Linked DNA regions of Canis lupus familiaris. The protein of the gene in region 1 interacts with the protein of each later gene in a pairwise test. Links are inferred from orthologs where the notes say so. Each region holds a gene or a part of one and is shown in the gene's direction. Other genes may lie near its edges.

The links.
Region 2: the proteins of GADD45G (region 1) and EEF1A1 interact in a two-hybrid assay, tested with the Homo sapiens proteins (2 studies listed by BioGRID and IntAct). The link is inferred for Canis lupus familiaris from reciprocal best matches to the Homo sapiens genes GADD45G and EEF1A1.
Region 3: the proteins of GADD45G (region 1) and LRIF1 interact in binary tests that used the Homo sapiens proteins (3 or more experiments, as listed by UniProt). The link is inferred for Canis lupus familiaris from reciprocal best matches to the Homo sapiens genes GADD45G and LRIF1.
Region 4: the proteins of GADD45G (region 1) and AFAP1L1 interact in binary tests that used the Homo sapiens proteins (3 or more experiments, as listed by UniProt). The two-hybrid records come from large-scale screens. The link is inferred for Canis lupus familiaris from reciprocal best matches to the Homo sapiens genes GADD45G and AFAP1L1.
Region 5: the proteins of GADD45G (region 1) and REL interact in binary tests that used the Homo sapiens proteins (3 or more experiments, as listed by UniProt). The two-hybrid records come from large-scale screens. The link is inferred for Canis lupus familiaris from reciprocal best matches to the Homo sapiens genes GADD45G and REL.
Region 6: the proteins of GADD45G (region 1) and TSNAX interact in binary tests that used the Homo sapiens proteins (3 or more experiments, as listed by UniProt). The two-hybrid records come from large-scale screens. The link is inferred for Canis lupus familiaris from reciprocal best matches to the Homo sapiens genes GADD45G and TSNAX.
Region 7: the proteins of GADD45G (region 1) and ARPC5L interact in binary tests that used the Homo sapiens proteins (3 or more experiments, as listed by UniProt). The link is inferred for Canis lupus familiaris from reciprocal best matches to the Homo sapiens genes GADD45G and ARPC5L.

Annotation. Positions count from the first base shown.
Region 1 is NC_049222.1:97,451,825-97,455,274, reverse strand, and holds GADD45G (growth arrest and DNA damage-inducible protein GADD45 gamma), read left to right. Parts: upstream 1-1,424; 5' UTR 1,425-1,531; coding exon 1,532-1,584; intron 1,585-1,804; coding exon 1,805-1,906; intron 1,907-2,010; coding exon 2,011-2,224; intron 2,225-2,314; coding exon 2,315-2,425; 3' UTR 2,426-2,950; downstream 2,951-3,450. UniProt on the Homo sapiens protein: Involved in the regulation of growth and apoptosis. Mediates activation of stress-responsive MTK1/MEKK4 MAPKKK.
Region 2 is NC_049233.1:35,820,480-35,824,518, reverse strand, and holds the start of EEF1A1 (elongation factor 1-alpha 1), read left to right. Parts: upstream 1-1,239; intron 1,240-1,354; coding exon of another isoform or gene 1,355-1,463; intron 1,464-1,526; coding exon of another isoform or gene 1,527-1,627; intron 1,628-2,173; 5' UTR 2,174-2,207; coding exon 2,208-2,351; intron 2,352-2,614; coding exon 2,615-2,794; intron 2,795-2,908; coding exon 2,909-3,205; intron 3,206-3,306; coding exon 3,307-3,457; intron 3,458-3,543; coding exon 3,544-3,800; intron 3,801-3,878; coding exon 3,879-4,039. Other genes in the region: uncharacterized protein LOC119874198, read right to left, coding at 337-582, 909-1,239, 1,355-1,463, 1,527-1,627. UniProt on the Homo sapiens protein: Translation elongation factor that catalyzes the GTP-dependent binding of aminoacyl-tRNA (aa-tRNA) to the A-site of ribosomes during the elongation phase of protein synthesis.
Region 3 is NC_049227.1:41,480,201-41,484,187, forward strand, and holds the start of LRIF1 (ligand-dependent nuclear receptor-interacting factor 1), read left to right. Parts: upstream 1-1,187; 5' UTR 1,188-1,590; coding exon 1,591-1,658; intron 1,659-3,987. UniProt on the Homo sapiens protein: Together with SMCHD1, involved in chromosome X inactivation in females by promoting the compaction of heterochromatin.
Region 4 is NC_049225.1:60,553,896-60,557,395, reverse strand, and holds part of AFAP1L1 (actin filament-associated protein 1-like 1), read left to right. Parts: intron 1-422; coding exon 423-548; intron 549-1,197; coding exon 1,198-1,409; intron 1,410-3,466; coding exon 3,467-3,500. UniProt on the Homo sapiens protein: May be involved in podosome and invadosome formation.
Region 5 is NC_049231.1:62,284,008-62,287,507, forward strand, and holds part of REL (proto-oncogene c-Rel), read left to right. Parts: intron 1-3,374; coding exon 3,375-3,500. UniProt on the Homo sapiens protein: Proto-oncogene that may play a role in differentiation and lymphopoiesis.
Region 6 is NC_049225.1:8,342,384-8,346,622, reverse strand, and holds the start of TSNAX (translin-associated protein X), read left to right. Parts: upstream 1-1,439; 5' UTR 1,440-1,623; coding exon 1,624-1,639; intron 1,640-2,128; coding exon 2,129-2,233; intron 2,234-4,239.
Region 7 is NC_049230.1:58,232,479-58,236,662, reverse strand, and holds the start of ARPC5L (actin-related protein 2/3 complex subunit 5-like protein), read left to right. Parts: upstream 1-1,384; 5' UTR 1,385-1,547; coding exon 1,548-1,696; intron 1,697-4,184. UniProt on the Homo sapiens protein: May function as component of the Arp2/3 complex which is involved in regulation of actin polymerization and together with an activating nucleation-promoting factor (NPF) mediates the formation of branched actin networks.

The DNA of each region.
Region 1 (3,450 bases):
GAGGTCTCCGAGTGCTGGCTTACCTGCCCCAGAGCGGTGACACCGCAGCACTGTTCACCTCCTCTAGGTTTATTACGATATAATTGGAAAACAAGCTTTCATACATGTATGTTTGGGTAATTTCAAACGTTTCAAAACAGCAAGAAATACGGGCTCTGCCTCCATCAGGCCTGGGTCGGAGTGTCCTTTTGCCCTCCCCTCCGCGGGCAGGTTCTGCAGCCCTTGCTGCGGCTTCCCTGAGCGCGCAGGTGGGATGGGGCGCCGCAGACCCGCCAGGGCCGTTGGGTGACCGCAGGGGCCCAGGCTGGCACCCTAGGAGGCAGGGCCGCAGGGGCCCAGGCTGGCACCCTAGGAGGCAATGCAAGTGGGGGCGGGGTGCCCCGTGTTTCTGGACAGCCTGCAGATGGCGCCCCGGGAAAGGGATTGAGAGCTGCGTTCTTCAAGCTGCGTAGACTGTGCGGCAGCCGCTGCGAGGACCCCGGGGGCAGTGGGGGGGAGGGTGGGGGCGGAATTACATGCACAGGGGCCTGGGGTGCAGCGGCCCCCGTGCCGGGGAGGAGCACCAAGGGGGCGCGGGAGCGACACGTGGCCCGCCCCCCACGCGCCGGGCAGCCCCGCGACCCCCACGCGCGGCGGGGCCCTAGCCACCCCACCCTGCGGCAGGTGGGTAGTGTCGCTATGAAGAGAAAGCCTCGATTGTCCCTCTTGCAAACCGCCACACGCCAGACCTCCGCTATTGTGCTTTCTCCATAGAAATGCAAACGAGCCGCGTGCGCCGGCCGCAATCTGCTCGCGCGTCCCAGCGCCCCGCGGCGCTCGGCTGCGGGCGGGGAGGTGGGCCCGGACCCTCCGGCGCGGCGGGGTCCCGGCGCGGGGCGTGCGGCGAGGCCTCCGGGCGCGCTCCGGTCGTGCGGCGGCTGGAGGGGGCTGTGCCCCTGGGCCTTTGGCTTGCAAGCGGAAAGCCCGCGCTGGCTATTTTTACTTGAAATTCCGGTTGAAAAACAACGGTCTTACAAACTTCCAATTACAAGTAAAGAAAAAAATAGAAACGTAGTCACAAAAATACATGCAAAAAAAAAAAAAAAAAAGAAATCTTCAGTTTCCCCAAAGGTGCATTTCATAAAGTGCTGCGTCTTATTATATTAGCAAGCTAAGGTTTTTTTTTTTTAACTTTTTCCTTTTAAGGACTTGAAACAACAAAAAGGCGAGTGAAATCTGCAGGCTCCCGTCTGCCTGGTAACACGCCGACAAAAGCGGCAGATTTGAGGCATTGTCATCCCCCGCACCCCTCCCCACGTGGCCTTCTGGCACGAGCCGCGGCGGCCGCCTCATTTGCATCAGAAAGCGGGCGCCGGCCAATGGGCGCGCAGCCTCGGGCCAGCTGGCGGCGCCCGGGCTCGGCCTATATAAGGGGGCGCGGCGCGCCGGGGCGCACTCGCCAGCCGTGCGCTCCCCGCTCCTCGGCCTCCCGCCTCTCCCGCGTCCGCGCCGCTCGCTCCTTGCGTGGATACTAGCTGTTCCCGACCGCACCATGACTCTGGAGGAGATCCGAGGCCAAGACACGGTCCCCGAGAGCACCGCCAGGTGGGTCGGCGCGGGGCGCAGGACGTCTCGGCGCGCGGGGCGCCTGTGCCCGTGCGGGCTGCAGCGGGTCGGGCGGCCGCCGCGGGGGCCCGCCGGGATGGGGAGCTCGCTGGGCGGGGGCTGGGGCACCGACGGGGGTGCGTCCCCGGGGCCGGGTCACCGCAGGGGCTGGGGATCCCTGGCCGCTCCCCGCGCGCTCACGGCGCTGGCTCGTCCGCAGGATGCAGGGCGCCGGGAAAGCACTCCACGAGCTGCTGCTGTCCGCGCAGCGCCAGGGCTGCCTCACCGCCGGCGTCTATGAGTCCGCCAAAGTCCTGAATGTGTGAGTGTGGACGCGGCCCCGGTGGGGTGACCGGGGGCGGCGGCGGCGGCGGGGGCGCCCCGGGCTCGCCGCCCTGCCCTCACCGCCCCCCCCCTCCCGCGCAGGGACCCCGACAACGTGACCTTCTGCGTGCTGGCCGCCGACGCGGAGGACGAGGGCGACATCGCGCTTCAGATCCACTTCACCCTGATCCAGGCGTTCTGCTGCGAGAACGACATAGACATCGTGCGCGTGGGCGACGTGCAGAGGCTGGCGGCGATCGTGGGCGCGGGCGACGAGGCGGCCGCCCCGGGGGACCTGCACTGCATCCTCATCTCGGTGAGTGTGGCCTCGCCCCAGCGCCGCCCGCCCCGCCGCGCCGCGCCGCGCCAGCGGCCGGCCAGGCTGACCTCTGCGCCCTCCCCGCAGAACCCCAATGAGGACGCGTGGAAGGACCCCGCCTTGGAGAAGCTCAGCGTGTTCTGCGAGGAGAGCCGCAGCGTCAACGACTGGGTGCCCAGTATCACCCTCCCCGAGTGACAGCGCGGAGGGGGCCTTGGTCTGATCGACGACGTGGTGACACCGGGGCGCCTAGCGCGCGGCTGGCTCTGTGGATGCGCCCTCGGAGCGCGCGGGCCCGCAGTGCTGCGCGGAGAGCGGCGAGGAGGGCGGCCCCTGCAGGAGGGGCCCGGCGGCGGGGGCGCGGGGGCGCGGGGGCGGGCTGGCCCCCAGCCCGGGACTCCGCGAGTGTGGACTCCGCGAGTGTGGGCGGCGGCGGCCTGCCCGGGAAGGCCGGAGGCGGGCCGTGGGCCCCGGGCCGGGAAGGCCGGACCGGCCGGGCGGGCGTGACTCAGCAGCCTGCGCTCTGCGCAGGAAGGAGGGGAGAGGCCAGGCAGGCGAGGCCTGGACTCCGGACTCTGGACTCGGACAGTTACAGGAGCTCTGACCCACTGAGCGGCCTGCACCGCTGCACCAAGCGGACGGGGCGATGCTCCGGTTTCTAAAGGATTCTGCTGCTGCAGCTTTGGAGTTTTGTTTTTTAAACAATAAACTAAGTGAAACAGACTTCTTCTCTTTCTTGAGGGTAGAGGGTCCCTGTCCGAGGGGAGGCGGTGTGCAGGGCCCCAGGCGGTCCCGGAAGGCCCGGCGGGGTGACCCGGCGGGCACCTACTCCGTCCTCCCGCGGGGCTGAGTGCGCGCGGAGTGGGGGAGGGGACGCTGGCGAGAACTTGAGCCCTGCCCCCAGTTCTCTTTTTAGGGAGAGACTTTTGAACTTGCAAGACAGGAGCACGCTTGCGATAAGACATCAGCGCAGGAGCTCAAGGCTGGCCCTCCAGCCCGATAACAGCCGCCTCTGCCTCCCCTCCCCCTCCCCCTCCCCCTCCCCGGCCCGCAGCCCCCTCCCTCCCGACAGCTGCTTATCAGAACAGCTTGCAGGATGCAGGCGGCGCCCCCCTTCACAATGGGTCCTGCCTTCTGCAGCGCTGCCCTTTGTGGTCCCAGGGGATGGTGGTGGCTGGCTCTCAGGAACCTTTTCCTCTGAAAGGCGGGCGCTGACGGCAGTG
Region 2 (4,039 bases), on another chromosome or scaffold:
CCATTTAACAGAAAATGAACTAATTTATTTAAATGGGCTAGGCCACCTTTAAGAAGCAGTGATTCGCAGCAAGTGTTGGGGATAGGAAATTGGGTGGATAAGCTTGCTGAAGCCGTAGATCTTAGTTTCTACTTGAGATCATGCGGAAAGACTGAATTTGAAAAATTCTTTTTAGGTTGCTCATGCTAGCAATCAAATGAGTGTACACTGTAGAAAAAATGTACCACGAGAGTAGACACACATAGGGTCTTTCTATAACGTAATGAAACTAGAGTTAAAAGGCAGACTGTGGGATTGAAATCTATTCTGAACTGAAGAACTAGACGTCTGGAGTACCATATGGGGTGAACGTGTGACTCGGGCTTCGGTAAAAGCAGCGGGCTCGGACTGGAACAAGCCAAAAGGCTAGCCCAAGAGCACATTCGTCCGGGTCACGGCCACCGAGTTGAAACCCTTGCGGATTCTCCGGCTGTGAAGGCGGCCCCTCGGGTCCCTCGCTGCCCTGGGAGCCCGGGCCTTGTACTCTCCAGCCCCGAGAGGAAGAGAAGGCAGGGGCGAGGGAGGAGCCAGCCCAGGGCGGACCTGCGACGAGCGGAGGAAGCGGCTCAAAGGGGCAGTCCTGGACCTTGGAGAGGACCAGGTTAAGAACTGGAGGTATACTGCGGAGGGAAGGCGTACTCCAATCGCCACACCATCTTTGCAGTTAAACCAGGAACCGTAGAGGGCAGATTCAGTACTTCCCCGCAGGGCCGCCTCCTCGCCCCCCCGCCCGCCCCTTCAGCTGGAGCTGAGAGTAATTCATACAAAGGAGGACTCGCTTCAGCCTCGGGGAATCCCAGGGACCGTCGTTAAACTCTCACTAACATAGAACGAGCGGAAAGCTCGTCCCCGCCTCCCCACCCACTCACTCTCGCCGTCATCGGGGTCAAGAGGAGCATGCGCGAGGAGATGTGCGCTCTTTAGTGGGCTGAGCGCACATCGCCCACGGTCCCCGAGCAGTAGGGGGAGGGGATGGCGACCGAACCGGTGCCTGATGGAGTTGGCGCGGGGTAAACTGGGAAAGTGGTGTCGTGTGCTGGCTCCGCCCTCTTCCCCGAGGGTGGGGGAGGACCGTATATAAGTGCCGTAGCCGCCTTGAACGTTCTTTTTCGCAACGGGTTTGCCGCCAGAACACAGGTGAGTGCCGGGTGTGGCTCCCGCGGGCCTGGCCTCTTTGAGCTGCCAGCGGCCCTCGCGTGCCTTTTACAACGGCCGCGCCACCGAGCCACTTTACGATGTTCTTGACCCCGAATTTCGGATTGTGAGTGGGTGGGAAGGTTCCAGGCCTTGCGCCTTTTTTTAGGACCCCTTTTGCCTCGTGGTTGGTTTGAGGCCTGGCTTGGGTGTTGTGGCGGCCGCGTGCGAATTCCGCCGCACCTTCTTGCCTGCCCTCGTACAGTGGTTTAAGCCTCCAGACGTTTGACCTACCAAAAGAAGGCCGCTATGGTTTTCTCCGTCGAGATGGTTGAGCGGAGGTTGGTCAGGACTTGAACGGGGTGGGCTTTTCCGCGGTCGTCGCGTTCTTGGGGTGTGGGGCCGCCGCGAGGCGCGGAGGGCGGCGACGAGGCCCGCTCGTCCCGGCGCACATGTCCGACGAGGCGGGGAAGGCCCACGAGCCGTGGGCGCCGCGTCGGACGCGGGAGAGTCCCGTGGAGTGGGCCGGGCGGCTCTGGTGCCGGGCCTCGCGCCGCGATGTACCGTCCTACGCCGGGCGGAGAGGCCGGCCCGCTCGGCACCAGTTGCGTGCGCGGAAAGATGGCCGCTCTCCGGCCCTGCTGCAGGCAGCTCAAAATGGAGGACGCGGCGGCCCGGGAGAGCGGGCGGGTGAGTCACCCACACAAAGGAAAAGGGCCTTTCCCTGTTAGGCCGCTGCTTCCTGTGACCCTACGGTGTACCGAACGCCGTCTTGGCACCTCCATTCCGCCTCAACGCCTTACAAGCAGGCCTTCCCCGGAGGGGGGAGGGGATTTTATGCGGTGGAGTTAACCCCACGCTTGGTGGGTGGAGACGAGAGTTGGGCCAGCTTGGCCCTGGTTGTAATTCTTGGAATTTGGTCTCTGCGAGTTTGGTCGTGGCTTATTTTCAAGCCTCCGGGACAGTAGTTAAAAGGGTTTGTTCCTACCCTAAAATTTAGGTGTCGTGAAAACCACCGCTAAACCTAAACCAAAATGGGAAAGGAGAAGACTCACATCAACATCGTCGTCATTGGACACGTAGATTCGGGCAAGTCTACCACTACTGGCCATCTGATCTACAAATGTGGTGGGATCGACAAAAGAACTATCGAAAAATTTGAGAAGGAGGCTGCTGAGGTTGGTATACTAACTTAATGAGAGATCGTTAAAAAAAAGTCGGCCAGTGTCAACTTCCCCAAAACTAGTTACTAGTCTATCAGAATCTGCTGCTTGTGGTAGATTGTTTGTGCTTGCTGAAGAGTTTTTTATCTATGTAACTTTGGGAGATAGAACTACCTAACTGTAAAGTGGAATCCGCATTTCTGCTTAAGCAGGAGTTAGGGATTTCAAGTTGGAAGTTTGTGTTTAAGTTACCAAGTAACCATTCTTAATCCTTACAGATGGGAAAAGGCTCCTTCAAGTATGCCTGGGTCTTGGATAAACTGAAAGCTGAACGTGAACGTGGTATCACCATTGATATCTCCCTGTGGAAATTCGAGACCAGCAAGTATTACGTGACCATCATTGATGCCCCAGGACACAGAGACTTTATCAAAAACATGATTACAGGCACATCTCAGGTTTGTAGGATTACTTGAAAATAACTGTAGGCTTGGGTTTTGTATGGGAAAAAAGGGGGAGTTCATCTTTTTGAGGAACATTTATTTAACAGGATGTCTTTTTGTCTTTTAAAGGCTGACTGTGCTGTCCTGATTGTTGCTGCTGGTGTTGGTGAATTTGAAGCAGGTATCTCCAAGAATGGGCAGACCCGTGAGCATGCCCTTCTGGCTTACACACTGGGTGTAAAACAACTAATTGTTGGTGTTAACAAAATGGATTCCACTGAACCACCCTACAGCCAGAAGAGATACGAGGAAATCGTTAAAGAAGTCAGCACCTACATTAAGAAAATTGGCTACAACCCCGACACAGTAGCATTTGTGCCAATTTCTGGTTGGAATGGTGACAACATGCTGGAGCCAAGTGCTAACGTAAGTGACTTCAAGGCTTTGAGGAAGTGATAGAAGAGGCATATGTTGACACTAAATGACAACAGTTTGGGGAATGCTAATGGACAATCTTGTTTTTTTAGATGCCTTGGTTCAAGGGATGGAAAGTCACCCGTAAAGATGGGAATGCCAGCGGAACCACACTGCTTGAAGCCCTGGATTGCATTCTGCCACCAACTCGTCCAACTGATAAGCCCTTGCGTCTGCCTCTCCAAGACGTCTACAAAATTGGTGGTAAGTTGAACATTGCCATTTAAAAATACGATTTATGGATTGTTCTTCACAGAAGGTATCTGACACGATGCTTCTAAATATTTTAGGTATTGGTACTGTCCCAGTGGGTCGAGTGGAGACTGGTGTTCTTAAGCCTGGTATGGTGGTCACCTTTGCTCCAGTCAATGTTACAACTGAAGTAAAGTCTGTTGAAATGCACCATGAAGCTTTGAGTGAGGCTCTTCCTGGGGACAATGTGGGCTTCAATGTCAAGAACGTATCTGTCAAAGATGTTCGTCGTGGCAATGTGGCTGGTGACAGCAAAAATGACCCACCAATGGAAGCAGCTGGCTTCACAGCTCAGGTAACACACTTAAGAGTGGCAATGTTCTCTTTGCTAGATCCTGTTTGAAATGTATTAAATGCAATTTTTTCCTCCAAGGTGATTATCCTGAACCATCCAGGCCAAATCAGTGCTGGATATGCACCTGTGCTGGATTGTCACACAGCTCACATTGCCTGCAAGTTTGCTGAGCTGAAGGAAAAGATAGATCGTCGTTCTGGAAAGAAGCTGGAAGATGGTCCCAAGTTCTTGAAATCTGG
Region 3 (3,987 bases), on another chromosome or scaffold:
ACTACTCCGTCTTCCCAGCTTCACTTCCTTTCCCTCCCCTCCCCTATACTGATCCCTGATAAACTTCCCTCACGCCAAAATACACCGGACAAAGTCCGTTTCCCAGGGAAACCAACCTGTGACAATGAGTTTTCGTACATAGGAAGAGATGATGGGTAGGAGGAGAATTGAGTGTGGAAGGTAAGAAATAAATGATGAAGCAGGGAAGAAGCCAAGAATGGGCAACTTATTCAGATCAGAGAATGACGGAAACCCAGCCCCTATGAAGGGCTGAGCACCTCGCCCCCTTTTAGTGCGGGACATACTCGACTGAAAGACAGACGCCAGCTACACACGCAGGATTCTGTGCCACCGAAACTACCACAGAGCACCGCGCTCAGGAAGTCGTGCTTTCTCTTAACCTGTCGGAACACTGTCGTTTCACTGCGCTTACCACGGAGCTAGGGGATGAGGGGCCAGGGGACTCGGCCCCCGAGGCCGGACAGTCAGTATGCGCCAGTTCACACTTCCACCGCCTGTCCCTCATAAGACGCCCTCGTCGGCCGCTCCTGCCGCCGCCTCCCTGCAGCCCCGGCTGAACGGCACCGCCCGCCCTTCCACCAGGGGCTTGGCCGGTCTCTCGGATGCAGGATTCAACACCGGGAGCCGGGAGACTTCTGAAAAGAATTTCTCCGGAGAGCCAAGTGAAGAGGAAAAAAGATGTCTATGGAGGGCGAACTTTCAGAGAACCAGCCGATTAACTCTGACGATGACTTTGACCGAGGCATGAGATGAACGCGCGGTGGAGGGAAAGGTCAGGTTAAGAAGAGAGGCAAAACTTCAAGAAAGAGGAAATGAACGAGAAAGCGCAGGAAGCGGCAATAAACAGAGCGCTGCCCACGGGCAGGCGTCTAAGAGGCGCGCACAGCGTCAGGCACTAGTCCAGAGCCGCCGCCGACGTCTCCTCCGGCGCTGGCGGGAAAGAGAAACGTGCAGGAGCGGCGAGCGCATTGGCAGAAAATTTACCAATGACCCCGGAAGCGTTTTATTTTGCGTAGGCATCTTGAGCATATCCTCTCGTGATTCGTTCGTTGATCCGGAAGAAGAGACACCAAACGTCCTCTGCGATTGGATCGTAGCATCGGGGCGGTGCTTTAGCGAGCCAGTCACCTCGGCGACCGGATGTGACGATGCCGGAAGCCGCTGACTGAGCTGGGCCCGGCTGGCGGCTGCGGTGGGCGGGGTCGGCCGAGCCCGTCCGGCGCGGTCTTCCCCACGGACCCAGCGCTGCTGGGGGCGGTGCCATTAAGGCCCCGCCTCCCGCGTCGACTCCGATTGGCTCTGGCGCGACGCCGTCGGCTCGCGGGGGGCGGAGACTCGGGCCGCTCCTCCCAGAGGCCGGGGCCGGGCCGCGTCGTCAGCCGCTGCGGTCCTTCCGGTTTCTGGCAGCCGCGTCGCCTCCTTCCGAAGGCTGGGGTCCTCCTTTCGCAGCGAACCCGTTGGGCGCCGTCCAGCCCAACACCGGGTCGCTCCGGGTCTCGCCCCTCGGGAGGCCCTCGGCCCCTCGTTGCCCACTTCCCTGGAGGTGCCGGCCCCTCCCGCCCCTCTAAAATGTCCAATCACCTCCAGAGGGTCTTCCTGAAACCCGCAGAGGAAAGCTCGGGCAACGCCTCGCAGTGGTAAGTACTGGTTGCGACTCCCCCTCAACACGCCTGCCCCGGCCCGCCTCTTAGCAGGGTGCCCAGGCGGCCTTCTCCTCCGGGCGCCCTGGCCCCGCAGTGGGCGCGCCTTGGGGGCGAGCGCCGGCCGGCGGGGCGCTCACGGCCCTGGAGCCCTCCGAGCGCTCGAGCGCGCCCCTCCTGGAAACGTGCAGCCTCGGCCCGCCCCGGCCCCGCACGACTCCTGCGACGGAGCAGCTCTCCACGGGAGAGGAAGACCAACATGGCCGGCGCGCCCGCGTGGACGGACGCCTTCTGGAAGGTTCTCGCGCACTCGCCGGAAAACACGCAGCGCGCGCGCGGACCAGCAGGTGCCGCCCAGGTGGTGCGGCCCAGATGGTGCGGCCCAGGTGGCGCAGGCCCTCCCGTGCGGACGGCTGTTCCTTCAGAGGAGTGAGAAGGAAAGGAAGAATGTGTGCAGGGGATGCTTAGGATATGAAACCACAACCTGAAAAATTGATCTCGTCTGAGGGAATGGATCTTTTCTTTTTTAAAAAGGATTTTGCTTATTCATGAGAGACACAGAGAGTTAGAGACCCAGGCAGAGGGAGAAGCAGGCTCCCTGCGGGGAGCCCCATGCGGACCTCGATCCCGGGACCGGGCTCTCACCCTGAGCCGAAGGCAGGCGCTCCACCACCGAGCCACTCAGGCGGCCCTGGATTTTGTTTGTAAATTTTAAATAGTAGTTTTATATGGAAAGGAAGAAAAGTAGAATGATTGCCACGTGAGATCGGTGGTTGGGAACAGAGTCTTTGAAGCAGCTGTAATGAGAACGCCCTCTCTCGTTGGATATCTCCCTATTTGACATAGGGAGATTCCAGGATTTCTTTTAAAAAGGCGTACGTGGTTGCACATTTCCAAAACAGTTTATCACTAAGTCAATTTTTTTTAAAGTTCTGTTAGTCAACATGAAATAAAAGGGGAACAGAACTGTTAGGGAAGATCGACTATTTTAAGTTGTAGACTCCATGGTTAGTGGATATAGTAAGTGGTGAGAAAAAACTTAATTGGTGTCTGCGGAAGGAAAATGTGAAGAAAGATGGAAATTGAGCGTAGAATTCATGGAAGAGGATTTATGTTTGAAGAACATCAAGCTGCCTAAATTTAATCCTAGCTTTGACAGTTAACAGTTCGTGAGACCAAGTGCCTTTCTCCAGTCTCCTTTCCAGTAAATTAGAGCGCCTAGAGATATTTTTAGAGTTAAAAGAATGAGTATATGTAGAATACTTAGTATAGAAAAAAAAAAAAAGCAGTACTTATGTGTTAGCTATTATTATGAGAATACGAGTTTATTTCTCTACAAATTTTAGCTCAGTAAGGTTTATTTTAATTACAAGTATATGCAAAATGGAATTGTAAGAAGGACTAAAAAAGCATGCACGGCATCTTAAGAAGAAACGGTCACTAAATGCGGTGAGCCAAAACAGCATTGAAGAGCTGCCAAGAACCATTGGGATTCAAATCGTAAACAGAGCCAGCTTGTGTGTACGTATAACGTTTTGGTTTACTTTTGGTGGAAGCTAGGAGGAGAAGCAGATGTAGTGTTCTGTATAGATAATGCAAAAGTAAAAATACTTTCTCATGGTTGTTCATTTCTTCTACCTTTGTTTTGGCCTGGGTATTTGATGACGTGTAACTTAACACAATTTGTTTTAAGAATGCATTGTTCTGCAATGTTAGAAATAAGATAGTATAAGAACCTAACCTTTTTATTTATTGTGACTTTAACTCTTTGACCCAATTTCTAAGCCTTCGGCTATATGTATTTGGCATTTTTAAAAACTTTACAAAATGAATTAGGTTTTGGTTACTTACCTGTGTAAGTCATTGGGAGTTCGTTAACTCATTGGTTTATGAATTGTGTACATCATCTTCAAATGCATTTATTTCTTCAAATCACTGAGATTTGACATCACATGTTCTGGACATTACCAGATGTTTTTTTGATGCCATTTGACTCTTATTTTGGTTATCGCTTGCGTGTTTGATTCTGTTCTGTTTTGTAAGTAATAATCTTCATGACTTGCAAGTATAATTTTATGAATCATTTGATTAATTTCAGCTCTTTAATTGGAAGCACAGTTTCTTGATTTTTTGATAATTTTGATGGTACTAAATCATTTTCATGAACTTAAAATGAGTATGATTTTTACTTTCTGTAGATGCTTGGATTTTTCTCGAGTTACTGCTGCTTTCCTTTTGTAAAGCTTTTCACGATTGCATTACAGGTTTATTGTTTAACATGTGTCTAGTTCATCATGGCATAAAGTATAAGAATCAGAACTAATCT
Region 4 (3,500 bases), on another chromosome or scaffold:
CAGTTCAGGGATCAGGGCTGTGACCAAGACACACACACACACACACACACACACACACACACACACACACACCAATGCTATGGGATCCCTTAGGAGGTGCTGACAGTTCTCTGAGAAGGTCAGAAGGAAGATCTTTGAGCTGGGTATTGAAGGATGAGTAGGAGTTTTCTAGCAGAAGCTAAGAGAACACATGGAATAGCATAAACATGGGCCTGGAGGCATGACAGGGCCCAGCAGGGCAGTGCCGATGACAAGAGCAGAGAGCATGTGGGGAGCTAAAGCAGATGACATTCAGAGAGGAGGAGGCCCCTCATCCTGGCCCGGGAGCTAGGGGGAGCTACACTCTCTCTTCCCTGAGGAGGGGCAGGGGTCTAGGGTCTGCCCCAGCCACAGCCCCTGCAGTCTGCCTGCCTTTCTCCAAGGTGCCGCTCCTTCTGCCAACCCTACAGACGGCTGCAGCCCAGCCCATTCCATCATGGATGGCTACTACGAGGATGCAGACAGCAGCTACCCCGCCACCAGGATGAATGGGGAGCTAAAGAACTCCTGTAAGTGCCAGGAGGGTGTTCAGAATGGTCCTGTCCTCAGAGGGCAGACCTTGGCCTAAACTGTTGGCATGCATGTGTACCTGGCCCTCTGGGTCACCACAGAGGCCTCCAGCCCTTGTACTCAGTGACTCCAGGGTTCAGTGGAAAGACCACTGGCATGGAACCGGGAGCCCTGGATCTAGCCTTTGCCCTGCCCCTTGGTGACTGACCTTGAATGAATCATTTATTCTCTGTGAGCCCCCAGTTGCCTTCTTTGTAAAATGGGGACTTGCTGGGTGCTGTGAGAATCACCTGAGACTAAGGACACAAAGATGGTGGGGTATGACAATAGCTGATGTAAGCAGGGTACCCACCGAGTGCCAGACCCTGGGCTGAATGCTCTGCAGTTACTGATCCTAAGAGCCCGGTGAGGTAGTTACTGTCATTGATTGTGACCATTTTACTGATGAGAAAACTGAAATTTTGAGAAGTGAAGTCACCAAGATGGCAGAGCCACTGGTAAATCCACACAACACAGCACCCGTGTCAGGGTGTAGAGATCATCATGATCACAACTGAAGTCCTGGTCCCTGAACCCCAGAGTGGAAGGGTCAGAAGGTGCCTCCCAGGCAAGGACATGGTAACGGGTCATTTCCCATGGCTCCTACAGACAATGACTCTGACCCAATGAGCAGCTCCTACGAGTCCTACGATGAGGAGGAGGAGGAAGGGAAAGGGCCACAGCCCACGCACCAGTGGCCCTCGGAGGAGGCCTCCATGCACCTGGTGAGGGACTGCAGGATATGTGCCTTCCTGCTGCGGAAAAAGCGCTTCGGGCAGTGGGCCAAGCAGCTGACGGTCATCAAGGAGGACCAGCTCCTGGTGAGTGGCCGAGGAAGTGTGCCTCTAGGCCTCACATGGACTTACACGTGTGTGTGTCTCTGTGTGCGTGTGCAGGCGTATCTACCCCAGGTCCTCTGGGCTTGCTTTGTGCCCAGAGGCTCAGTGCTTCTGAGATAAGGGCTCTCCCACTAGAGCAGAATGTAAACACACACACATGCACACACACTCAAAGACCTGACATAGACTTTAACAAGTTTTTGTTTCGCCAGGAATGAATTTTTTATCACTTCAAAACAATGTTTATTGATTTCATTATGCAACTAAATGTGTTTATGTATAAAACTGGAGAAAAACATAATGAAAATGTTTTTATAAGGTTTTATTTATTTGAGGGCAGCCCGGGTGGCTCAGCGGTTTAGCGCCACCTTCAGCCCAGGGCCTGATCCTGGAGACCTGGGATCAAGGCACACGTCGGGCTCCCTGCATGGAGCCTGCTTCTCCCTCTGTCTATCTCTCATGAATAAATAAATAAAATCTTAAAAAAAAAAAAGAATTTATTTATTTGAGAGAGAACAAGAGAAAGAGAGAAAGCACGCACACAGAGGGAGAGGGAGGAGAAACACACTCCCCACTGAGCAGAGAGTCAGAGACGGGGCTCAGTCCCAGGACCTTGAGATCATGACCTGAGCAGAAGGCAGATGCTTAACCGACTGAGTCACCCAGGAGCCCCAAAAGTGATTTTTTAAAGCCACCTATAATCCCATTGACCAAGAGCTAACCACTGTTATGTTTTAATATACATATTTCCACATATCCGCCTTTTCTAAAATTGAGCCCATTCAGCACTTACTGTGGAACTTGCTTTCTTAGTTTTTTTTAATTTGCCATCTCTCATCACCATCATTTTATAAAAGAAAATGTACCTTTAATTCCAGAGTAGGAATACAGACATAATTTCAGAAAAAAATAATAGCTCTTTTACCCCAAAATCTGTTGACAAGCCTTACCCAACATCTATCCATTTGAAACATGACTTTTTCTCACCCCGGAGCAGTGAAAAGCTCACCCCAGGCCAGAACCAATCCAAAGGTCATGACTTACTTCTTCTCATCCCGTTTGTCATTTTTTTCTTGACATACCGCATTGGTTAGGATCTCCAGCACAATGTAAATAGAAGTGGTGAGAGCAGGCACCCTTGTGTCAGTCCAGATCTCAAAGGGAAAGTTGCAATAATTCACTATTAAGGCTGATATTTGCTGTGAGTGGTTTGTTGAAGCTCCTTATTGCCACATTAAGGAAGTTCCCCCTCTGTATCTCTAGGTTGCTGAGAATTTATGTTACAGATGCATGGAGAATTTTACCAAATGCCTTTTCTGTTTCTATTGAGATATGTGGCTTTTCTCCTTTTTTTCTATTCATATGATGAATTATAGGGTTGGCTTTTAGAAGGCTAATACACTTTTGCAATCCTAGAATAAACCCTGTTTGGTCTTGATACGGTATGCTTTTCCATGTGTCTGGGATTTCTATTTGCAAGTAGTTTTTTAAGGGCTTTTGCAACCATGTTGAGATTAGCCTATCGTTTTCCTTTTTTTGTAGTGTCATTGTCAGGTTCTGATATCAAGGTAATGCTAGCTTCATAGTGAGAATCGGGAAGTGAGAATCATTATTGATAAACTGTTGACTTCCTAAGCCCAACCGTCCATCTCTGCTAGAATCCTCTCTCCCACATTCCTGCTAGTAGCACATGAGTAGCAGGGAGCTGGCTTCCTTCCAAGCCAGCTTGTTTCTTCTCTGGTTCTTTAGACTAGAATGGTCTTCCTAGTATTGTGCTAAAATCTGCCTCTTCCTAATAGATGGCGGTGCCCCTGGGGCCCCTCGGTGGCGCTTGAGACCTGAAGATTGTCCAAAGACGCCCCCTTCCAGGCTTCTCTTCTCTGAGATGAATAGCCACAGCCCCTGTCTTCACGCAGTACCCACAGTTGGGCTGGGGGAGCGGGGGGCAGGTCGAGGTCGCTCCCCCAAGCCTTCATGCGAGGGCATCTCCCTCCTCCGCCCTCCAGTCCAGAAGGGTGACCCCTTCTCTTCCTGTCCAGTGTTACAAAAGCTCCAAGGACCGGCAACCGCATC
Region 5 (3,500 bases), on another chromosome or scaffold:
GTCTTCCCTAAATTATAGTGATTTGGAATAATTGACATAAACAAAATACTATGATAATTTAGAGGAGGGGGAGAGTATTTCCATTTGGGGGAATGTGAAACATTACAAGAAAATATCACTTGGTTGATAATGAGACTTTTTACCAGTAAAGAGCTGTACAATAGGAAGAATAGATTTCAAAGGTTTTTAAGTACTAGGTGCTATATAGTAACTAATATTTGTCATTTTTATAACTTTACATCTTTAAAAATTGTTTTATCTTTCAGCAACTGCTTTTCTGTTCTCTTATCTATAGACCTTTTTCACAAACACTTTGTAGTTTAAGGAGGGATTGTGTAGCCAATGAAATATTTGAAAAATCACTATGAGTCTGTACTTTTATTCACTCTTCCCCCCAAAGTTAGCCACTTACCCTTAATGATGTAATTCTCTATCAACTTCCCACGAAGACTTTAAATAAGTAATGGGCAGGGATTTATTTGACCTTTAGTTCAACCACATAAATTATTTATTACTTTAAAAATGCTGTTGAGTGTTTCGAACTATTGAGAAGAAAATTTCTTTTAAATACGCCTGCAACGATATATAAGGATGTGAAATATTCGAATTCACACTGAAATGTGAATTTGAGTTATTCAAAATATACAAGGATATAAATATGTTATATCGAAACACTCGTGCGCCTTACATATTTCGGTAAAATTGAATTAAGTATTGTGAACGTCATAAGGTGAAAGTCAGTTTTCCCTGACTCTCTGTCTTTTGTATAAACAAATAGGTAGTAAAATCAAACAGAAGGAGTCTGAACCAAACAGAATAAAATTAAAGGTAGCAGTAACTTGACTCAGTAACCCAAAGTAGGAACTGTGGAGCCTCAGTGATTCTTTACTTGCTCCTAACCCTAATGTTCAGTCTGTCACCAGGAACTGCCAATTTTATTTAAATAATCCTTCATTCCTGTTATCACACTATATGTCGGACATGCCCTCATCATTGCCCACAGGACTGTATGTAACAGCCTCTAAACCCATCATCATACTTCCTCCTTTCTTTTCCATCTGTCCACTGCCACTAGAATTCTTATTCTAAAATGTCAGTCTAATTGTATGATTCCCCTACGTGAAACCATTCATTGACTCTTAGTCACTCATGGAATGAAATCCAGATCCCTAATGTACTCTGTACAGATTTGTAGATATGTACTCTGGCTTTGGGTTCTAAGGGAGAAGTGTACTCCACTCGCACTGTGGCTTCATTGGTCATTTAAACTCTCCCTCTTCTGTGCTGCCACATCTTTGGACGCACTGTTCCCTTTCCTTAGAATTCCCTCTTCTCTTCTGCATCTTTTTGCTTCATTGACTCTTTTTCCTTTGATACAGGCATGCCTGACTCTTTTGCTCTATCATTTATGCACAATTTTGTTAGCATAAACAAAATTTTGTTCTGTTGGACTCTTCTGTATTCTAATAATTTATGTTGTGTGCCTGTAACATTCTTGCAAGTACCAGTTGTTGTTAAACCTTCGTGGTATCGCTTTAAATTTTCAAGAAAGCATCTGAAATAATAAGACAACATTTACTGAGTTCCTAATAGGCATGATACTTGATAAGAACTGAACACACACTACCTCGAATCCTCACAACAGCCCCTATGTAGTAGGTGCTGTTATTATTATTCCCATTTTTTCGAATAGGAGACTTAGAAGGTAACATTTCCAGGCTCCTCATTATTAAGATATGGCTAAGTAGGACTCAAAAGTCCCCTTCCTCACACGGTACCAATAAGACCCATTGTGTTAGACTTTCTAAAGATTTGCTTGCATTCTAAGACAGGATAAGTCTTTAGTCAAAGAAATGGATTATCTAATTGTGGGAATTTAGAAATCACTAAAGCAATGGAGGGAAGGAAATGGTGGTTGTTTTTTTTTTTTAATGGGAGACATCTTCACACCCCTTAAAGACAGGTTGCCAAGTACGCTACTTGAAAGCACCCTTGAATGTCTTCACTGAACTCGTGATTTCAACAGTATGGATAATAAGGGGTAAAGATGCATGTACTTTAGACCACTTCATTGACATATAAATAATATATAATAAATTGCACATGTTTAAAGTTTGCAATTTTATAACTTTTGACATATGAATGCAACCTTAAAATAAATCATCATCACAATCAAGATAATTAACATATCCACCATCCCCTGAGTTTCCCCATCCATTCCACACCCCTGTTCTTAGGCAATCAGTGATCTGCTTTTTTTGATTATAGATTAGTTTACGTATTCTAGAGTTTTATATAAATGGAATCCTTACGAGATGTGCTCTTTTTGGTCTAGCTTCTTTCAATCAGCATAACTTTTTTTAAATTGGAGTATAGGGACACCTGGGTGGCTCAGCGGTTGGGCATCTGCCTTCAGCTCAGGGTGTGATCCTGGAATGCCTGGATCAAGTCCTATATCAGGCTCCCTACATGGAGCCCACTTCTCCCTCTTTTTATTTTTTTATTTTTTTTTCCGCTTCTCCCTCTGCCTGTGTCTCTGCCTCTCTGTCTCTGTCTCTCATGAATAAATAAATAAAAATTTTTTTAAAAAAGATTAAAAATAAATTGGAGTATAGTTGACACAATGTTACATTAATTTCAGGTGTATAACATATAGGATTCATCCATGTTGTATAGATCAGTTCATTCTAAAGTTGCATATTTGGAATTACATTTGCCATTAGAAAGTAAATAATTTCTTTTCCTCTGTTGTGTCTTCTGCTTTAGTAAAGATTTAGATGGAACTGATTGAAAATTCTGTTGAGCTTAAAATGAAGACTTCTGAAACTTGTTTTGATGTACTATTTATCAATCCTTTAAGATTCCAGTGGAGATACAAAAAAAATATCCTTCTGCAAGGATTTAAATGCATTTTCATTTTCAATTAGCAGTCTTTTAGTCCACTATTAAAAGTTTAATGTAAAATCAAGTAGATCAACTCACTTTTGGAGTAGGATATTGTACTTCTTAAGACTATCTTCTTGACCCTTCTGGGGGAATCTTGAGGGAAATCCTTTTACTTGGTCTGATGTAAGAAGTGGGTATCTCAGAACTTCACACTGGCATTAGCTATGGATATTAAATGATAAAGTGCTAACCAATAAATATGATTTGAGTGATTTGTGTTAACACTGTACAGGAGCTCAATATGAATGGGAGAAGAAGTGCCTTTACCACTCAATCTTGGGTAATTACATTTCAACCTTATTACTTAATATTGGGAGGGAAAATTTTTTAGTCTGCTATTTTGCAAAAAAAGAAACAAAAAACAAAAATGGTTACATCCATTATTACTGCTATCCTAATCTCTTCCTCACCCTTTCTTAAATTTTCAGGTGGGTATAACCCATGTATAGAGATAATTGAACAGCCCAGGCAGAGGGGCATGCGTTTTAGATACAAGTGTGAAGGGCGATCAGCAGGGAGCATTCCAGGGGAGCACAGCACAGACAACAACCGAA
Region 6 (4,239 bases), on another chromosome or scaffold:
ATATTCAGAGAAAGTGTAATAAAACATACTTGTGTTTTCCCCACTCGGCCTACGCCACCCAATTTGCCAAAGCCCTACCCTGAGTTTATACCTAGAAGATGCTGGATTGCTACTTCGTTACCCATCTTGGCGATGGGAACCTCATCCTTGAACAAACACTTATAGCGGCTTTACAAGAGCTGTGGATCCCGGAGGCGCGGGTGGGAGGTTATAAAAGGTTGGAAGGCCTACACCTGGGTGGCTCAGTGGTTGAGCGCCTGCCTTTGGCTCAGGTCACCTCTCTCTCTCTCTCACGAATAAATAAAATCATATATATATGTATATATATATATATAAATATATAATCTAATAAGATATGGCAGTACCTGCCCCAAATAAAAAGCTCACAACTTAGTTGTGCGCACCTGTTAGCCTGTTATTACCAACCTCTCTCTCTTTTTTGGAGCGTGAGGTTGGGAGAAGGGTATGAAAGCTAATATTCTCTTTTTTAAAAAAAAGATTTTATTTATTCACGAAAGACACAGGGAGAGAGGCAGAGACAGGCAGAGGGAGAAGCAGCTCCCTGCGGGAAGCTGGATGCGGGACTCCATCCCAGGACTCTGGGATCCCAACCTGAGCCGAAGACAGACGCTGAACCGCTGCCCCACCCAGGTGCCCCTGAAAGCTAACATTTAATCGAGCAGGTACTATGCGAAAGGACACTCTTCTATGAACTTTAGTATTAACTCATTTGGCCCTCGACTAAGCGTATGACGCAGGTAGTATTCCATCCCTGTTTCACAGGTAAAGAAACTGAGGACAGTGGCTAACTGCCCTCGAGGTCACCCAGCCCCGCGGGGCCAGGGGACGCCGAGCGCAGCGAGCGCGCGGAGGCCGCGGTGCAGAAGGCGATGACAGGCGAGGGCCCGGGGCGGAGCACAGAGGGCGGGCTTTACCTTCGTCCGAACGCCAAGGCCGCCTGCTCACTGATTCGTGTCTCCCCATCACTTTGCCTGCTGGCCCCACAGCCAGGAATGGAAAGTTTAAACTCCCAGCTCCGTAAGATTCGGCCTGGATCCTGAGAAGACCCTCCCGTAGGCGATGGACGGCTCGCTCCCTCCTCACAGCCAGGTCGGGAGAGCAGCAAGGGGCTGACTCCGGCGGGCGAACTACAACCCCCATCACTCCCCGCGCGGAAGGCTGGGTCCACGCGAAGGGAACGCGGGGGTGTTCCCAAAGTGCCTTGAGGAAAAACAAAAAAAAAAATCACGAACACCTCCCGCCGTTTTTCCATCTTCACACAGGCCTCGCTTCCATCATCCGTTTTGATGGAAGCGCAGTGAGGCCTGTAGAGTTCGCTTTGTCTTCAGGCACAGCAGAGGGCAGCCGGGACGACGGCGCGCGGGCGCGAGAGCCCCGGGGCGCGCGGGGCGGAGCCTGCGGCGGCGGGGCCGGGGCGCAGGCCGGAAGTGTGCGAGGACGGAGGGAGAGGCGTGAGTGGCTGCGGGCGTGCGCTTCCGGCCAGTGCGTCGACGTCGGCCGGCCGCGGAGGGCTCCTCGGCAGGCTCTTCGGCCAGCACCTTACGCACCCCGCTGGCTCGCAGGCCTTGGGTCTCCGCTCATCTCGCCGTAGGCCGTGACGACATGAGCAGCAAAGAAGGTGGCGTCCTCGGCGGCCCTGGGCGTTCTTTATTCAAAGGGGGAGGATCTCCCTCCTTTTTGTCGGATTTTCCACTTCGCTTCCCGCTTGAGGGATTGCCCTCTCCCCATGCAGGCTCGGGGGCGGGGTGGGGGGGAGGGGCGGCCCCGGAGATTTCCTGGCCACCTCGGGCCTATGCACACCTGGCCATTTCTTAAATCCTCGAGCTGTGTCTTTGATTTTAGTTTGGTCATTGCTCCACCTTGTGCCAGATCAGGAAAGCCACTGGTGGAGGCCCCGGGTGAGGTGAGCTTAGGATTGGGGGGTGGGGGCGGGGGTGGGGGTGGGGGGAATAAAAAGGCAGGGCTGCTGCTGCGTGAGTCGGCCGAGCAAGCGAGCAAGCGAGCAAGCGTCTCGGGCCAGGGCCCCTGGGCGCGGGTGTGAGAGCGAGGCAGGGGCCAGCTCTGGTGCAAAAGCCCTACCCAACTGTTTTCTCCTTCTCTACGTAAGGATCAGGAGGGTTCAGGAAAAGGAAGCACGACAATTTCCCACATAACCAGAGAAGAGAAGGGAAGGATGTTAATTCATCTTCACCTGTGATGTTGGCCTTCAAATGTAAGTTTTCTGTCATGGAGGTTGGCGAAGGGAAGAGAGCGAGAGAGGTGGTAGCAAGGAGCGTTTAGGCATGTTGTGCTGCACACACCGTTAGGACGTGAGCTGTGCCGGTGTGACCCTTGTACCTTCTTCCCCCAGAGGTTAGCTGTGGTGCTGGGTCTGCCATTAAAGTCGAGGGTACTCAGGTGTTGGCTTTTTTTTTTTTTTTCCTGTAAGGGTTCTACAGGTAAATATTAGCATCAGAAATGCCACATCACTAAAAATTACTGCGTCCCCGACATACAAATATGTATCAGCGATATAGATCTGTCAGCTGTATGTATACATATAGATTTAATTAGTTCACTTTGTGTTTTTTTTTTTAATTATTTATTTATTTATGATAGTCACAGAGAGAGAGAGAGGCAGAGACACAGGCAGAGGGAGAAGCAGGCTCCATGCACCGGGAGCCCGACGTGGGATTCGATCCCGGGTCTCCAGGATCCCGCCCTGGGCCAAAGGCAGGCGCCAAACCGCTGCGCCACCCAGGGATCCCTAATTAGTTCACTTTGAAGCGTATATTTTGGTTTTGGCTCCTAAGCTAGAATCTTGAAGACCAGGATTAAGTTTTTTGTTGTGACTGTCACACCTCGCACAGAGCGGGACCTTTTCTATTAATAAGTCATATACATGCCACAGATATACGGCACATACATAATGTCTGTGTGTGTATGTGTTATTCACAGGCCTCCTTTTATTTTTTTATTTTATTTTATTTTTTAAAGATTTTATTTGTTTATTCATGAGAGAGAGGCAGAGACATAGAGGGGGAAGCAGGCTCTCTGTGGGGAGTCTGATGTGGAACTCCATCCCAGGACCCCGGGATCATGACCCGAGCTGAAGCATATGGGATGCTCAATCACTGGGCCACCCAGGTGTCCCTCACAATCCTCTTATTAACTTGGTTGAGTTGCTCCTCATTTCAAAAGAAAGCATAAAACAAAAATCTCCTTCCTGTCATCCTGTATCCACCCTCCTACACCTTACAGTTAGAGCCTGAGAGTGCCTGAGCTGTTGATTCTCACTCTCGGTCATCTGAAGACCTGAGTGGGCCTGGAGGATCCACCTCAGTTGACCAGTCGGGCCTTCTGCCAACAACCAGCTCTCCGTCCTCACAGGAAGCTACTTGAGTGGCCTAATGTTATGGCAGCTGGCTTCCTCGATCAAAGCAAGGAGGAAACCAGTCTTCTTAGGTCCTGATCTCAGACACAATACGCTGTTGCTTTTGCTACATTCTGTTTGTTAGAGATGAGGCAGTTTAAATAACTCTGCTTCATTTTTATTTTTTTATTTAAAAAATTTTTTTTTTAAGATTTTATTTATTTATGAGAGACAGAGAGAGAGAGAGGCAGAGACACAGGCAGAGGGAGATGCAGGCTCCATGAAGGAAGCCCGACATGGGACTCGATCCCGGGTCTCCAGGATCATAACCTGGACTGAAGGCGGCGCTAAACTGCTTAGCCATCCAGGCTGCCCTCTGCTTCATTTTTAAAGGGAACAAATTAGGTTCCACCTTTTGAAGGGAGTCCTAAATAATTTGTGGGTATATTTTAAAATCATGGCACCTACATTGATCTTTAGATGTATAAAACAACTTGTAATTGCTTAGTGTATTGATACAATGAATGGTATACACAGTGCAAAAACTGCAGTGGGCCAGGGTTTCCCCATCATTGTACTCTGACACACCATATACAGAGCTGCTTGTTTCCAAGCATATGTTGCTTTTGTATGTTTCTGTCTGCGTTTTCACACATAGTTCTTTAAGCTCAAAATTTCTTCTAATTTGCTAGTTCCATTGTCCATCTGGTGAACCATGGTTTCCTTCATAACCTAGTTCACATGTCTTCTTGGAAGTCTTTCTGACTTTTTTTGTCAAGCAAATTTATTGACAGACATTGCATTTATTCATTATCCATTCATCCATTTGGTCATTAAATATTTATTGAGCATCTACTGTGTTCTAG
Region 7 (4,184 bases), on another chromosome or scaffold:
CAGAGACATAGGCAGAGGGAGAAGCAGGCTCCATGAAGAGAGCCCAACGTGGGACTGGATCCCGGGACTCCAGGATCACGCCCTGGGCTGAAGGCGGCGCTAAACCGCTGGACCACCAGGGCTGCCTAAGTCTGTATCTTTAGCACCCAAAATTAGGTAGCATCATAATCTGGCAATAATTTTTTGATCTGTAGACACAATTCAATGAGAAGTATTTGAAACAATAAAAACGAGTCATACTTCATTAAGCCTTGGCCTTTATTAAAAAGAGTACAATTCGGGATCCCTGGGTGGCGCAGCGGTTTGGCGCCTGCCTTCAGCCCAGGGTGTGATCCTGGAGACCCGGGATTGAGTCCCACGTCGGGCTCCCTGCATGGAGCCTGCTTCTCCCTCTGCCTGTGTCTCTGCCTCTTTCTCTCTCTCTGTGTGACTATCATTAAAAAAAAAAAAAAAAAAAAAGTACAATTCAGGGGACCTGGCTGTTTGTACATCATGTGACTTTTGATCTCAGGGTTGTAAATTCCAGCCCCATGATGGGGGTAGAGATTACTTAAAATCTTTTAAAAGGAAAATTATATGAAAACAAAGATCCAATTTAATCTAAGGTTAAGGCCGATTTTTTAATAAAGATTTTAATTTATTTATTCATGAGAGACACACAGAGAGTGGCAGAGACATAGGCAGAGGGAGAAGCAGGCTCCACGCAGGGGCCGATGTGGTGTGGGGCTGGTTCCTGGTACTCCGGGATCAGGCCTTGGGCGGAAGGCAGACGCTCGACCGCTGAGCCACCCAAGCATCCCACGGTTAAGGCCTATTAACAGAATCCCGCAGGCCACTGCCCAGGCACCCAATCCTGGAACCACAGAGTCGTTCTTGCCCCTACCCTTCGGCACCCGGTCCCGTCTCTTCCCATCTCACACTTAGGTGACTCAGCTTCCCACCAGGATATGCCTCTCCAGCCGGAAATGACTTCTTAGCCTCCAGGACCTCGCCCTTTAAGTCAGGATGGTGACCTCAGGGTCCTCTTTCTCTCCTCGCCCCCACCTGCCAGGTCAGGTGACCATTACACTTGCGGGGGTGCCCGAGCCGCCTCAGTCTGGGCAGTGATGGCTCCACCCCGCTTCTGCGGCCGAGTCCGCGCAGGCCCCTTGCAGGGCCAGGGTCTCCTCGGGTTCGGAAAGGAAGCCGAGCACAGTTATGGCGTCCACGACGCTAGGCCCGAGTGGGGACGTAGTGCCCGCTGCTCGGATGGCAAGAATGAGGTTCCCGAAGCTGAGAGCCGGACGCGGCGCTACCGGTAGTAACTAACCGGGGGACTCTCCCGCGCTTCCGGCCCCGCCGCCGGCAGGCTCCGCCCCTCCTGCCCGCCGGCACTTCCGGTTCCGGCCTAGCGCGGAAGTGGGCGGGCGGCGGCGTCTGCGCGCGGAGGAGCTGGAGGAGGCGCCGGGCGGCCGCTTCCCGCCCCCGATCCTGAGCCGGTTCCGAGCGGAGTAGATCGGAGGTCGGACCCGGAGCGGAGCCGGCTGAGCGGGCGCCGAGTCCCCGCCATGGCCCGGAACACGCTGTCCTCGCGCTTCCGTCGGGTGGACATCGACGAGTTTGACGAGAACAAATTCGTGGACGAACAGGAGGAGGCGGCGGCGGCGGCGGCCGAGCCAGGCCCGGACCCTGGCGAGGTGGATGGCCTTCTGCGGCAATATCCTTACCCAGCGCAGCGGCCCGGGTGTCCCTCAGGCCGGCCTCCTACCCCGCTACTTCCCGGCCCCTGAGGTCCGTTTCCCAAGTGCCTCCCGACCCGGCTCCTCTCAGGTTCCCTCAGTGCATGTGTCCTCCCTTCCCTCTGACGCGGCCGCTCCAGTCCCCTCGTCCGGGCTCGGCCTTCGGAGCCTCCTTCAGGAGCGCGGCCCCTGGACCCGGCTGGACCCGCCGGCTACTCCCGACGCACCTGCAGCCCCGCAGGCCCCTCCCTCCTCCGCGAGGCCTGGCCTCTTTACTCCCCTTCTGCCCCTCGTCCCCTCAGACTGACCGTTCCGCGGGCTCCCCCTCCCTCCATCCCTCCCTTGCAGGAAATGGGGCCGTTCTCGCGCCAGATGGGCGGGAGGGGCCGAGGGGAGCCCCGCTGAGTAATTGAGCTGCCTTAGACGGCTCCCGGGCACAGTCACCCCACGAAGTTAGGTGGGGGGTGGCCGAGGGGTAGGAAGGACCCAAGGGAGAACGAGGGCTGCAGCCTTAGGGAGACTGTGCGTCTCCCACCCCAGAATCAGCCTGACCCTCCAACTTCATGCCACTCTTTTTCACCTGTTTTGTTTCCTGTGAACACCTTGGGCTGTGGACCCTGATGTCTTAGCCACGTTCAACAAGTGACTTTTGGCTCCTTCCCCGAAATAGCCTTCTTGTGCAGGAAGCAGTGGGGAAAAGCTAGTAGTTTAGAGCTAAGAAAAACCGGACAGCATCAAGTGAAATGTAAAAGTAGAGCCTCATGACTGGAAGTGACTATTCTTGTGGCCGCAGAAAGCAAGCATTTAGAAAACAAGATTAAAAATAGAGGTGGTTGTCACAGCCTGCTTAGTCCCTTAGCCGTTTGAGCACAGGAAACTGACTTACTCTCACAGGAAGGATTTTTCTTTATTCAAATGGTGTTACGGGAAGTGCCTACCCCTCCCCCACACTTGCCAGGGCAGGGTTGGAGGCTCCTGTGTGTATAAATCAGGTTCTGGGTGTTTAATCAGTTGACTCAGCTTGGGAAGTCAGGCCCATGGACTACCTTAGGGAGGAGTCCTGCAGTGTTCCGCCAATGTGCCTTTGAAACAAAAACCTTCAGACTTTCTTTGTTTGAACAGGAATGTATTTTCGAAGGTGAGGATTCAAACTCGTATTTTCTGTGCTATCAGGATCATCTTATTTACCCCATTGGTGAAATGGGGTCATGAGGATGACCCTCATGAGGGAAGATTGATTCCGCATTCTGGTGCAGGACCTGGCTCATGGGCAGGCAGTACCAAAAAGGCTCCAACGTCAGGCTTCTGGCCCAGTACCATCCACAGATGGGGAGAACAAGGTCTGGTTATCTGCTGTCTTGGTCCTGGTGCTGCAGGGACTTGTTGAAGGTCATCTCTTGGTACGCCCTCGGACTAGTGATTGGTTCCTTGAGGCTGCTTGGAGGCCTAGGTTTAGCACATCCAGTTGGTGGCAGTTTCTCCACTAGTGACAGTGTCAGAAACCTTGTTACCATGGACAGTATATCTCTTGGGATTGGGGAAAAGGAGGTTAGCAGGTGAGAACTGAGATCCTGGCAATTGTGGAGCCCAGGGAGGGAGGAAGAAGGAACTGGTATTTACTGAGTCCCTACCATGTACCAGTTATTGGACTTAATATTAGATCACTGACTTAAACTGTAGAACAGGCTTTTAGGAATCTTAGAATAGAGACCAGAGGAGTGAAGATAGAGATTGATTGGTTGGAGTGGGGGAAGGTAGGGAGGAGAAGGCCTTTCTTACTGCCGTATAGGGAATCGAGTCATGCTAGGAATTCAGACAGATGAACTAGAACATGGGCCGTGTATCCACGCAGACTTCACTCTATCGTGCTATGACCTCATACCCTAACTGAACCTCAGCATCCTTTTCTGTGAAAAGGAGGGGAACCATGGCCTTACAGCTTCCATGGGAGCATCACAACAACATTGCAGAAGCTTCACAGTGCTGGGCACACAGCAACTGTCCTAGACATGCAGCTGAGGTATGTGGGTAGAGGGACAGCAGGGGATTGTATGTAGAAAAAGCTTGGCTCTGGAGTTGGGTATACCTGGGTTTGAAGGCCAGCTAGACAGCTTAGCTTTGTGACTTTGTCAGGTCGTTTCCTTTCTCTGAGTCTCTAATGCATCGCCTTTCAAATGAGAGTTGTTTGAAGTATTGAGATGACATGTGAAAGCACCTGGCACAGGAGCTGAAACCTTGTAGGGATTTTTAAAATATTCATTCCTTTTTTTCCTCACTGAAGAACCTTCTGGTCCTCAGGACTAGGGATCTGTCCAAAGCAGTGGTTTTGAACATTTTTGCACTTTTTCCTCCCCCTGAAGAAATTTGGCATTGTTTGGAGATATTTTGATTATCACAATGCTGCTAAACACCATGTCATGCAGACCTCACATCAGTTGTGTGGTCTAAAATGTCAGTGCTGTGGTT